3 linked regions of the Coturnix japonica genome follow. The main gene of each other region encodes a partner of the protein of the gene in region 2 in a complex. Links are inferred from orthologs where the notes say so. Each region holds a gene or a part of one and is shown on either strand. Other genes may lie near its edges. The genes, in order: CRIPT, ARMC7 and RBM48.

Region 1 (3,749 bases), on a different chromosome or scaffold from region 2:
ACCATGTACTCAGTGACACAGTGTGAAGTTGTAGAACAATTAACATTATTCCATAAACAAAAATCACTACCAGTTAGCTGTGACTCTACATCTAACAATTCATCCAGCCCATGTCTGCGTGCTGAGTGAATTCTTCAATAGTAAGAAGGTAACCGAGTTCATGTTGCACTATTTTCCCCCCATGGATTACAAGTTTGAGCCATTTTGCTTGCCCCCTGAAATTCACAAGACTGATAAAATTTTATATTCTCCAGTAGAGATTTCATAAGGGTTCTGAGTCCCTGTTATTACAATGTTTGACCACCCTCATGGTGAAAATTATTTTATTCACATGGAATTAAAGAATTCTGCACTCTTCTCCATCACTGTGCACTGTGATGGGGGCTCAGTGCACCTTCTATACCTTCCTATTATTAGCTGAAGACAGTAACTGAATCTCATCACAGCCTTCTCTTTTCCTCACAGAACAAAATCAAAGACTTCTACTTGGTCTCTAATTCCAAATCAAAGCGGGGTAATAAAGTTCTCAGTGAAACTCACCTTTTTTATAGGCACATCCTTGGCAATAGTGAGACCCTGGCTGATGGACAGAACTCTTACAAATTCGACATATTGCAAATTTGTTCTTTCCATAAGGATCAAACCTGGAAAAATGGAGAAGTACTTTGTTTATGCACAGTGAAATAAAGTAATTCCTTCATCTCATACTAAAAATGCTATGCGAGAGGAAATAGACAAAAACTCCAGCAAAAACTGCAATCAAAAACAGGGACATAAAGAGGTCAACTCTAATAGACTACAGAATTTCTACAAAAAACCTCCCATTTTCTCCATTAAGAGAGGTTTCTTGTGTTATAGAAATTAAATTAATAAATGATGAACTAAAACCACACATTGTTCTTAAGATACAAGCCTATTTCAAAGTCAAAATACATTTCAACAATGGCTTGCCCCTGGCATAACAGAATATCCTTTAGACATTAAGGAGATGCTCAAGCGTTTGAACAGGTAATGTTAGCATGGAAGATCACAGAATCATGTGAGTTGGAAGGGACCTTTAAATGTCATCTAGTCCAACTCTCCTGCAACAAACAGAGACAAACAGCCTTTTCAGCCCCTCTCTTAACACAAACAGCAATTCCTACCAATTTTAGGGATGCCCACAGCAATACAGCTGCCCATGCTCTGTAATTCCACAGAAAGCCCCAATGAAATACATAAATACACACTGCCACCAAGGATTAACATGTTAAAAGAAATGAATAAATTAAGTTGTATTTTGGACAAGTTTTGAGGAATTACCCTGCTTTGTGAGAATGCAAGGTCTCAGTTACAGAAAATTGAATTATTTTTTAAGCTGAAATGAGGATTAAATACTAACCTTGCTTTCTTTGAGGTCAACGCCTTGTTTTCATTCAGCTTACGGCCACCGCTTTCTATAAAAAAAATACAACCACAAGGCAATGCATTTCACAGTCCAGCTTCCAACTGCCACATGTGGGCATGTGTGATCAGAGCAAAGTGAAGCATGAAGCACATAGCATGGGCAGGCCCTGCATATCATCCTTCCACATGAGGGGAAAGATCATAATGTAAACATAGAAAGTGTTGGGTTGGAAGGGACCCCCCAGGGATGGTTAAGTTCCAGCACCCTGCCACAGGCAGGGCCACCAACCTCCAGATCTGGTACTAAACCAAGTTTCCTGGGGCTCCATCCAACCTGGTCTTCACCACCTCCACAGCCTCTCTGGGCAGTCTCCCCAGCACCTCACCACTCTGTGTGAAGAGCTTCCCCTAACATCCATCTAAACCTTCCCTCTTTGAGCTTAAAACCATTACCTCTCATTCTATCATTACCTATTCAAGTAAAAAGTTGATTCTCCCCCCCCCCCCCCCCCCCGGTAATGATCCCATTTTAAATACGGAAGGCTGCAATGAGATGGACAAATTCAACGCCAAAAAGCTCGAGGTAAACAACCCTTCACTGCACTCAATGGAAACTACAGCAGTGAAGGGCCAACCCGGTAACTCCAGCAGGCTTTGGGGCTGCCCCCCGAACCCTCCGGACGACCCGCAGGGAACACCCAGCGACCGACACTACCTGTGGTGTTTCTCGCCCCATCCTTCCACGTATCAGGAGTGATCACGGTGCCCAGCTTCCTCTCACCTACGGAAAGAAACACCACGAAATAAACGATTAGAATTGCGCTGCCCTCAGACCCCGCTTAGTGCCGGGATCCCCCCAATCCCACCCTACTCACACTTCTCGCACACCATGGCCGCCCAGCACAACAACCGCCGCTTCCGGACCCGCCCCGGAGCTGACGCCATCCCGTTGCCGGGCGGCCGGCGTCCCGGGTACGGGCCAGGTGGGCCCCGCACGTTGTTAGGCCGCCCCGCGGGGCGAGCCTGACCTAGGACGTTGTGCGAGCGTGAGGGTCGTTAATCTACCACTAAAAAGCCCTTTTCTCCCCCAGAACGCCCTCATTGCCCCGCTGGTGCGGCTGAGTCCCGCTGACCGAGTGCCGCTCGCTGTGTTGCAGGTGGCCGGCGGCACGGCGCCATGAAGGAGGCAGAGCTGAGGAGGCTGCTGGCTGCCAACCTGCTCTGCTTCGTCTCCATCGTCCTGACCGCACTCGTACCGGCCTTGTTCCTGGATGGGTTCTCGGTTTTGGGCACTCACCTCACGTGGCTGTGTGTTTGTTCTGTCTGTGTTAGCGTCCTTAACGTAACCTTGTGTTTAATCCTAAAGCCAAGTCCGTCTTCTAAGAGAAGCTCGCTGTCTAACAAGGTAAGATTTGTTTCTTTCTTAGATTCCTATCGAGTGATGTGGAGAGGATGCTAAGCCTGTCACTGAAATGATGTGATGAGAAAGAAGTTACAACTTCTGGTGGTGAATTCTTGTTTTCCATGAGTTGCAGAGCTTAACTCTGTCTGCACCTGCCAGCAGCCCTCTGGGCTGAGCATCCCTGACACTTCTTGCCCATGGGGTTGTGATTTGTAGTCACAAGTCTATCACTGACTGCATGCTGGTAGGAATTGGGGCACACCAGAGTGGGCACGAAATTCACTTTGCAGTCTAGGCCTGACCTTCGTTATTGCAGAGTATTGCTTTGTTCTTTGTGTAGGAACTGAGATGTAAAATTGGGAACAGCTCATTACTACTAAAACTTGATGAGGCAGTGGCACAGCTGCCCAGAGAAGCTGTGGTGCCCCATCCCCAGAGGTGTTAAGGCCAGGTTGGATGGGGGTCTGGGCAGCCTGAGCTGGTGGTGGCCAGCCCTGCTCATGGCAGGGGGTTGGAAATGGGTGGGCTTTGAGGCCCCCACCAACTGAAGCCATTGTGACTCACTGAAAGTTGGTAAACTATAAAAAGTGAAGTTGAAAAGTGTCAGAACAATTGCATTTCATTGAATGACTAAATCTGCAGAAATTAAATCTGGGAGATTTCTTTGTAGTTACAGTTTGTAATAGGACCATTGAGGGTGTGGATCCTAATTTAACAGGTTAGAGGAGTAAAACATAGCTGGGTCAGGAGTGGTAGAATACAATTTGAAGTCAGCTTAGTCGTGCAACCCCACCAGCTGTGTCAGACAGTGCTCTTACAGTGATTCTTAAAAGAGTTAAGCAGTCATCCAAGAAAGTAGTATCTTTGTATGTAAAACTGTTAATTGCTGACAGAGGGGATATAAAATACATGAAAACATCATGGAAAACAAGTCTTTTAACCATCTGTGATTTGAAAATGA
Region 2 (3,358 bases):
ACCACGTGCTGCCTCCGTGTGAAGTGTCCAACATCTGCTTTATGAAAGAAGCGAGCAGCGGAGCAGGCTACAGCTCCTAAACACTGAGTGCAGTTGGAGCGCGCCCAGCCGTCCGATGAAGGTTCCCGCAGCGCACAGCGGAGCCGCCTGGCCCCGCACTAAGGCCAGGCCGGCAGTTCCACCCGCTTGTGGCCGGAGGTTCCACTCGGGGCCGTGGTGCCGCCAGGGGCCGCTCGGCTTCATGCGGGGGTTGCGGGGTTCACCTCACGGTGCCTCGTCCTGGTGCGGCCGGAGCCGCAGTGATGTTATGAAGAATAACTATAAAGACAAACAGCCAGCTGTGGTGTAAGCTCACTATGGCGTGTTTTGAGCTGAGTGGAGGGGGAGAAAGCAGAACTCTGGAACTCGCAGCCTTTCAGAAGCACCGTGGTAAAGGGCCACCCCGTTCTATGCCTTTGGGCAGTTTGCCGCCCTGGCTCCAGGTTACCTTTTGCACGATTGGCTGATCATAAAAGGAGAGCAAAGTGGCTCCAACTCCCAGCCCACGTGCATTAGTGGGAGCAGCAGAGGCTGCGCTGCAAGAGCTGTACAGGAACATTTACGAGCTTACACAGAACTGTTTACACAACAGCTCCGTTAATGTTTTATTAAGAAAAGGCTTTTCTTGTGAACCTGAATGCCATAAACCCTTTTCCTACCTGCACCTTTCTCACCAGTGGTAATGAGGGAAATACAGCTTTCTGCTTCCTGACCTATGGGATAGCTATCACCTGTTCTAGGGCAGGATGATAAGACAGTATGTATAGTACCAAAGGTATGTAATAGGATTGCAAATTACCAGGGCAGGGAAACGCATTTCTTCTGCAGGAGGGATGAAGTTTGGGTCATTTCAAAGTCATCTGAGTTGACACTGGAAAGCTGTGGCAAAATCAGCCAGGAACTGGAAGTGATACAAGCTGAACAATAACCCGAGCAGAGAAAGTAACTGCTATAAGGGTTATACCTGTAAGCTGGTTCAGAGCTGCACAGCAGCCATCACCTTTTTTATTTAAAATATTTGCTTCCATTTTCAGCCACGTTCTTGGCCTGTTATAGTGCTGTATGGTCCTTTTCAATACTAACTAAAATCCAATGCTAGTCTGATTTCCTGCTTTACTGTTCTCATCACACTCTTGACCTACTCAGCATTAGGTGCAGACCTGAGCAAACAGGGGGTGCTCCTCGCAGCAGCTCCAAGCTGCTCTGACAGCTTCAATCCTTCGGGAGAGGAATCCCCACCGCTGTGTGTTTGCTCAGGTTCCTGGCCTCTTCCACCTGCAGGGGCGTGCAATAATCCTCCAGGAAGATCGTGGCCAGATTGCTCAGCCTTCTGCTGGCCGACAGGGAGAAGCGAAGCATGCATTCCACCACCGGGAGAGCTGTGGTCTGCTGGCACGACTGCGGCGTTGTCAGATACATCAGGGCTGTGACTGCTGACATGACTGTCTCTTCGTTGGAGCTGGAGAGGCAGTTTATTATGGGCTCTACCCCATTGGCCTCCAGGATATAGTCTTTGTTAGTTTTATCCAAGCACAGGTTGCAAAGACCACCTGAAATAGCGAAAAAAGCATCTGACACATGCAAGACAGATTCTTTCTGCAGCCTCATCCGGACACACTCCATGCTCTGAAGGGCACCTCATCTGGGAATGAATGGCAGCAGCTGGAGCACGTTCCGTCTGTTGGTACCAGCAGTTGGGCCCTGACCTGTGTGGTGCCGGCACTGAGTTGTCCGCAGACGGACACTCCATCTTTACTACTTTTCTTAAGGCAACATGCACAGACAGTTTCCCTGTGTGGTAAGGGGGCAATCGGTCTTCAAGGTACCAGGAATTAAATGATGGGTTTTTAATTGCCCTACGTTGCCTTTTATTTTCTCCTGTCCATCTCAGTGCAGTGATGGCATTTATGGCGCCGTGTGGCTGCAGCGTTTATTTTCATTTTCCCCGGTTTGTTACCTGTGTTTTAGAGAAACAGGGAAAGCATCGGGGCGCACCCAGCGCTGTGCTCACCCATAGCGAATTCCACCAGGGTCTCGTCGTCCTCCGTCAGCATGTCGAGGAACAGGTCCAGCACCTGGAGCTGCCGCAGATACTCGTAGTTCTTGGGGTCGTAGGCGAAGTTGGCCAGGTTGGCCAGCACCTGCCGCCTGGCCTCTGCCGGGGAAGCAACGCGTCAAACGGGGCAAGGGGGGCTGTGGTAGATGGAGATTTCGCTTTTGTACGCGGGGTTACCTGGGCTGTCTGTCACCTGGAACTCCGTGACGAGGGCCTGCAGGTACTCCAACCTGCCCAGCTCCATCCCGAGCTGAGAACCAGAACCAGCCGATCAGCTGGACCGCGCCGCCGGCACGGGGCACAACGGGGCGCTCCGGACACCGGCGGCCGCCATGTTGTGGGCGTTACTCCCCGGCCGCCATGTTGTGGGCGGTGCGGCTGCTGGCTGCGCTCCGCGTGCGGGGCGGGCTGTGGGCAGCTCATGTGCGTCAATAAGTGAAGGCACATATCACTGCTGCACTCTGTATCTGGCAAACACGTGTTTTTATCGTTTCCCCCCTTTGTTCTGCACAGTTCTTCACCTTTCCCTGCCACCTGGTTGCTTGCCCCCCAGGCCTCAGAATTTACACCCCCGCGTGTGCTTCTCGTGCCTGTAACTGTGTTAGTGCACTTGAAGCGACATCTGTCATTACTAATATGGACCAGAGCGGGGCTGGTGTGAGAAGGGCAGAGAAGAGAAAGCAAACAAGGAGAAGCAAACCGACAGAAGTGTTTGAGGACAGTGGGACTGAGCAATAAGGGGAGGAGCGCGTTGCATTGGAGGAGGAAAATGCAGCGCTGAGTTCCCAGGTACCGTGTGTGTGTGTGGGCAGTCAGTAGGATTTTGCAAGCACAAAACCAATGGGAACTTTGTCCCCTGCAGTGATTTCACTGCGAGCAGCGTTTAGGAACAGCCCGTGCTGGTCGGGTGGTGCATCCCCGAGAGCTGCACCCTGCGGGTCACACTGCAGCGCTGCTGCTCACCTCACTGCGAGCTGCGTGCTCTGCTGCTTCTAGATTCTATCTTGTTTTGAGTCTAATCCAGGCTGGTTAACGGATGTGAGGAACATTGTGCATTTAATTTGAGCTGTCCCATAGAGTTTGGTAACATTCCCAGGTCTGTGGTCTGCAGAGATGTTCTGTAAGGGCTGCAGGCTGTGCTCGTGCTGCTTACATGACTGAGTGCATCTGATCATCACCGTGTGCTGCAATGCTGCAGGAAGTTTTCCTGGTCGTACACAACCATCTCTTGGCAGCAGTGCTGGCTCAGGCTGTTTGTGCGGG
Region 3 (3,749 bases), on a different chromosome or scaffold from region 2:
CAGTGACAGAAATAATACCAGCAATACTTCATTCCCAGTCACCTTCCTGTGATTCTGCTTAAGCAGCACCTGCAGTGGATAATGATATCCAAGTACATAAGCATAGGAAAGGAGAAGCCTGTGCCTGGCATTGTACTTATTTTACAGCTTGTCCAGCCTTCAGCGCTGCCTGGGAACTCAGCAGCAAAGCTGCCTGTCAGCCCAATCCATTCCTCGTGTTCCTTACTGACCCAAATGACAGGCAGGAAATAAGGGGCAGGGAGGGGGCTCTCTTACTAATCTCTCTTTTTGGGTATGCCTGAAAGAACTGTAACAAGGGGAACAAACTGATCCTCAGTTTCCTGGCAGTACTTAAAATTTCAGGTAACGTTTTGAAAAGAAATGAAGGAAACAATGAGGTTTAAAAGCTTTAAAGTGCATGTTAACTAAAACGTTGCTTTCTGAAAGGTCCATCTCTAGGAATAACTGAGAAATGTCCTAATGTAAAACAGCTAAACACAGTATATTTTCATCAATGGATGCTTTTGGCTTTACCAAGACGTACCAACCACTGGAATTAAAACTGGACATGAGATTTAACTACAAACCTCTTTGATTTGTTGCTTTTGCAATATACTTCCTTCTGTCCTGCAGCTTCTCCCTGGTTTCTTGGACTGTTTCAAATTCTGGAGCGTAGCACACGTGCAGCAAACTCCCAAAGAAACTGCGCTCATCCATCTTCTTCTTGGCCACCCTGAAGGAAACTAAATGGCATTAGCAGAGCTGAGGGTTTTACTTCAACTCTGTATGATGTAGATCATACATAAAGGGGCCGTGAAGGATTAAAACAACAAAAGGCAGATAGTGCTGTGTATAATACCTGGCACATTGCAGATTCTGGAATTTTATCAGATAAACTTCAGTGAACTGCTCTGCGGGATATTCATCAAGTGCATGGTACTCTTCTATGGCTCCGTACAAGGCAAACTGCTCCACTAACTCCTTCATGACGCCCAGCGCAGGAACTCCCTGGATTAGTAAATAACGCGATTCCAAGTTGATGGTGTACACCTGAAAGAAGCACAGGACAATCACAGAATTGTAGGGGTTGGAAGGGACCTCTAGAGATCATCAGTCCAACCCCCTGCCAAAGCAGGCTCCCTACACCATGTCACACAGGTAGGCGTCCAGGCGGGTCTTCAATATCTCCAGAGAAGGAGACTCCACCACCTCCCTGGGCAGCCTGTTCCAGTGCTCCGTCACCCTCACTGTAAAGAAGTTCTTCCACACATTAATGCAGAACTTCCTATGCTGTAGTTTCATCCCATTACCCCTAGTCCTGTCCCCACGCACTACTGAAAAGAGACCAGCCTCACCACTATGGCTTCCCCACCTCAGGTATTTATAAACCTGGATCAAGTCCCCTCTCAGCCTTCTTTTCTCAAGGCTAAACAGACCCACTTCCCTAAGTCTCTCCTCATAGGGGAGATGCTGTTCAATGCTCTAAAATGCCCACGTTTACCTCACTGCGAAAACAACAACTCAAAGCGTTCGTGCTGCCCGCTGTGTGGAGCCACCGCGGGCAGGGATGAACTCAAGCAGGGATGAACACATCACAGAACATCAGCTGGAGCTGATGCTTCTCCAGATGTCAGAGCACCGACACCTGCGGACTAAACAAGTCTCCAGCAGCCCACCCGCCCTCACCCCGCACCTTGACGGCCCTGGGTCGCCGCCCCTCGCGGTACTTGGCCCTGGACCCGCATGCTCCCAGCTGCTGGTGGTGCCTACACGCCTCCCCCGGCCCGCCAGCACCGCCCGCCGCCATCTTCCCGGCCGCCACCGCGGCTCCGGTCGGCTCTTCCGGGAAGGAAGTGGGCGCTGCCGAGAAGCCGGGCGGAACGAGCAACTACAGCCCGGCCCACCCGGCTGGCGGCATGTGGGGCAGCGGTAACCCCGGCGGAGGGGCCGCTGGAGTCGCCGCGGTGACGGTGGTGCTGAGCGGGACCCGGGACTGCTTCCTTCACCTGCCCGCCGTGCTGGCCTCGCACCTCCGCCTGCAGCAGGTACGGGGACGAGATGGGGGCGGCCCGTTCGGAGGGGATTGTGGGAGAGAGGTTCTCCTTCCTCCCCCCATCGTATCCCGTCATCATGGCGGTGCTCAGAGCCCTCCTCGAGAGGACGCACAGTCACCACAGCGACAGCGCAGGGCAACCAGCCGCCCCCCGCACTGTCGCTGTGGTGACTGTGCATCCTCCGAACGGGCCGGGACCCCTCGCCCCTGGACCCAGATGGGTCTGAGTATTTCTGAGTATGATTTGATAGTAATTCGTTTCATCTGCCTGATAATCACAGGGCCAAGCTGTCAAAGTATCCTGCCGTGATGAGCCCATCTACCTGAGCTGGATGGAAATGAGGCATCGAGGTCAGCGGGGTGAAAATATCGCAGAGATGAACAGGCATTTAGCAGAGAAGCTTGGCATTGCAGATGGAGAACAGGTTTGAAATGCAGGTCCCTTTTTTGAGTTTCTGAGTAGAGGTTTTATGTGTTTAAGGAGTTAAATTATTCAGAAATAATGTTGCTTCTATCAGGTGTTCGTGGAGCCCTGTTCACACGTCTCCTCCTGTCAGCAAGTAGAAGTGGAACCGCTCTCAGCAGATGATTGGGAAATACTGGTAAGAAAACCTGTCCCACTGTTCACATCATTTTCATGCAAATGACAGAGAATGTTGATACAAGCTTTTGTCGCAATCCCCCGTTCTTTTCTGCTCCTAAGCAAATGCTAAGTCTTGTGGGTTTTCATTGTATTTTATGTTTCAAATGGTGTATTAGAAAAAGATGTGAATCTTCTATGTTCAAACACATTTTAAAGGTTGTACAAGTGTGTAGCTTACAATGATACCACACTTTCCCAGGAACTGCACGCTTCCTCTCTTGAAAAGCATCTTCTGGACCAGATCCGAATCGTATTCCCCAAAGCCATCTTTCCTGTTTGGGTTGAACACCACACTCACGTTTACATCAGAATTGGTAAGCAGCAGTGAATGCTTTGCTGGTGCCTTGAGTAAGCTGTTTTGCAAGAGTGGATGCATTCATTCATCTGATTTATCCATACTCAGGTACACTTATGCCAGCAGCCCCCTATGGGAGATTAGAACCTTGCACGGAGCTTCTGATCTGCCCCAAAGCGCGTGAGCTTGAGGAAAACGTCGTAGACATGCCTTCTACAGAAGGTGACATCTTACTCAAGAGCTTTGTGAAGAATAGCATGGAGCAAGACGTAACTGTAAAGGAGCCTTTTGCCAGTCAACCTCACTTAAACCCAGGAGTCCCTGAACAGAGTAAGGCTGATGCAAATGTGACGTTTGGCTCAAGTGTTCTCCCAAATATGTGGAATTTCATAGGGAGCATTTTCTCTCGTACAGCTGAACAGAAACAAAAGACTCTGTGTGATAAGGATGAAATGAGCGCCTTCAAAGACAAGCTGCTGAACTTAATTCACATGGATTCCATTTTTAGAGTATGCCAGTCCCAGCCTCCCAGCGTACAGAACGCATCAGCTGTTCATGCATTTCTGAAACACGGTGCCATTCATGTTTTTCCACAGAATTTAGAATATACTGATTTGGATCCAAATGCTGTAGTAACTTATGGGAAAATTAACGGGCTGCTTTCCCCCAGACAGCGTCATCAAGAAGCAAAGCAAAATCTGCCATCTGAAAAGCAAAAACATTTGACTAGTACGCAAGACAAAAAAAATTCCAGTAAC

What was found.
Region 1: ARMC7 (region 2) and CRIPT share a complex: the UniProt entries of both Homo sapiens proteins name them as parts of the minor spliceosome. The link is inferred for Coturnix japonica from reciprocal best matches to the Homo sapiens genes ARMC7 and CRIPT.
Region 3: ARMC7 (region 2) and RBM48 share a complex: the UniProt entries of both Homo sapiens proteins name them as parts of the minor spliceosome. The link is inferred for Coturnix japonica from reciprocal best matches to the Homo sapiens genes ARMC7 and RBM48.

The regions. Positions count from the first base shown.
Region 1 is NC_029518.1:23,890,010-23,893,758, reverse strand, and holds the start of CRIPT (cysteine-rich PDZ-binding protein), read right to left. Parts: upstream 2,365-3,749; 5' UTR 2,332-2,364; coding exon 2,262-2,331; intron 2,168-2,261; coding exon 2,102-2,167; intron 1,437-2,101; coding exon 1,382-1,436; intron 645-1,381; coding exon 541-644; intron 1-540. Other genes in the region: PIGF (phosphatidylinositol-glycan biosynthesis class F protein), read left to right, coding at 2,564-2,791. UniProt on the Homo sapiens protein: As a component of the minor spliceosome, involved in the splicing of U12-type introns in pre-mRNAs. Involved in the cytoskeletal anchoring of DLG4 in excitatory synapses.
Region 2 is NC_029533.1:9,331,159-9,334,516, reverse strand, and holds ARMC7 (armadillo repeat-containing protein 7), read right to left. Parts: upstream 2,463-3,358; 5' UTR 2,340-2,462; coding exon 2,273-2,339; intron 2,195-2,272; coding exon 2,051-2,194; intron 1,590-2,050; coding exon 1,252-1,589; 3' UTR 620-1,251; downstream 1-619. UniProt on the Homo sapiens protein: As a component of the minor spliceosome, involved in the splicing of U12-type introns in pre-mRNAs.
Region 3 is NC_029517.1:20,668,816-20,672,564, reverse strand, and holds the start of RBM48 (RNA-binding protein 48), read right to left. Parts: upstream 2,335-3,749; 5' UTR 2,133-2,334; coding exon 2,007-2,132; coding exon of another isoform or gene 1,917-2,006; exon of another isoform or gene 1,895-1,916; intron 1,837-1,894; exon of another isoform or gene 1,808-1,836; coding exon of another isoform or gene 1,694-1,807; intron 1,051-1,693; coding exon 860-1,050; intron 734-859; coding exon 588-733; intron 1-587. Other genes in the region: PEX1 (peroxisome biogenesis factor 1), read left to right, coding at 1,917-2,045, 2,335-2,478, 2,572-2,655, 2,896-3,010, 3,100-3,749. UniProt on the Homo sapiens protein: As a component of the minor spliceosome, involved in the splicing of U12-type introns in pre-mRNAs.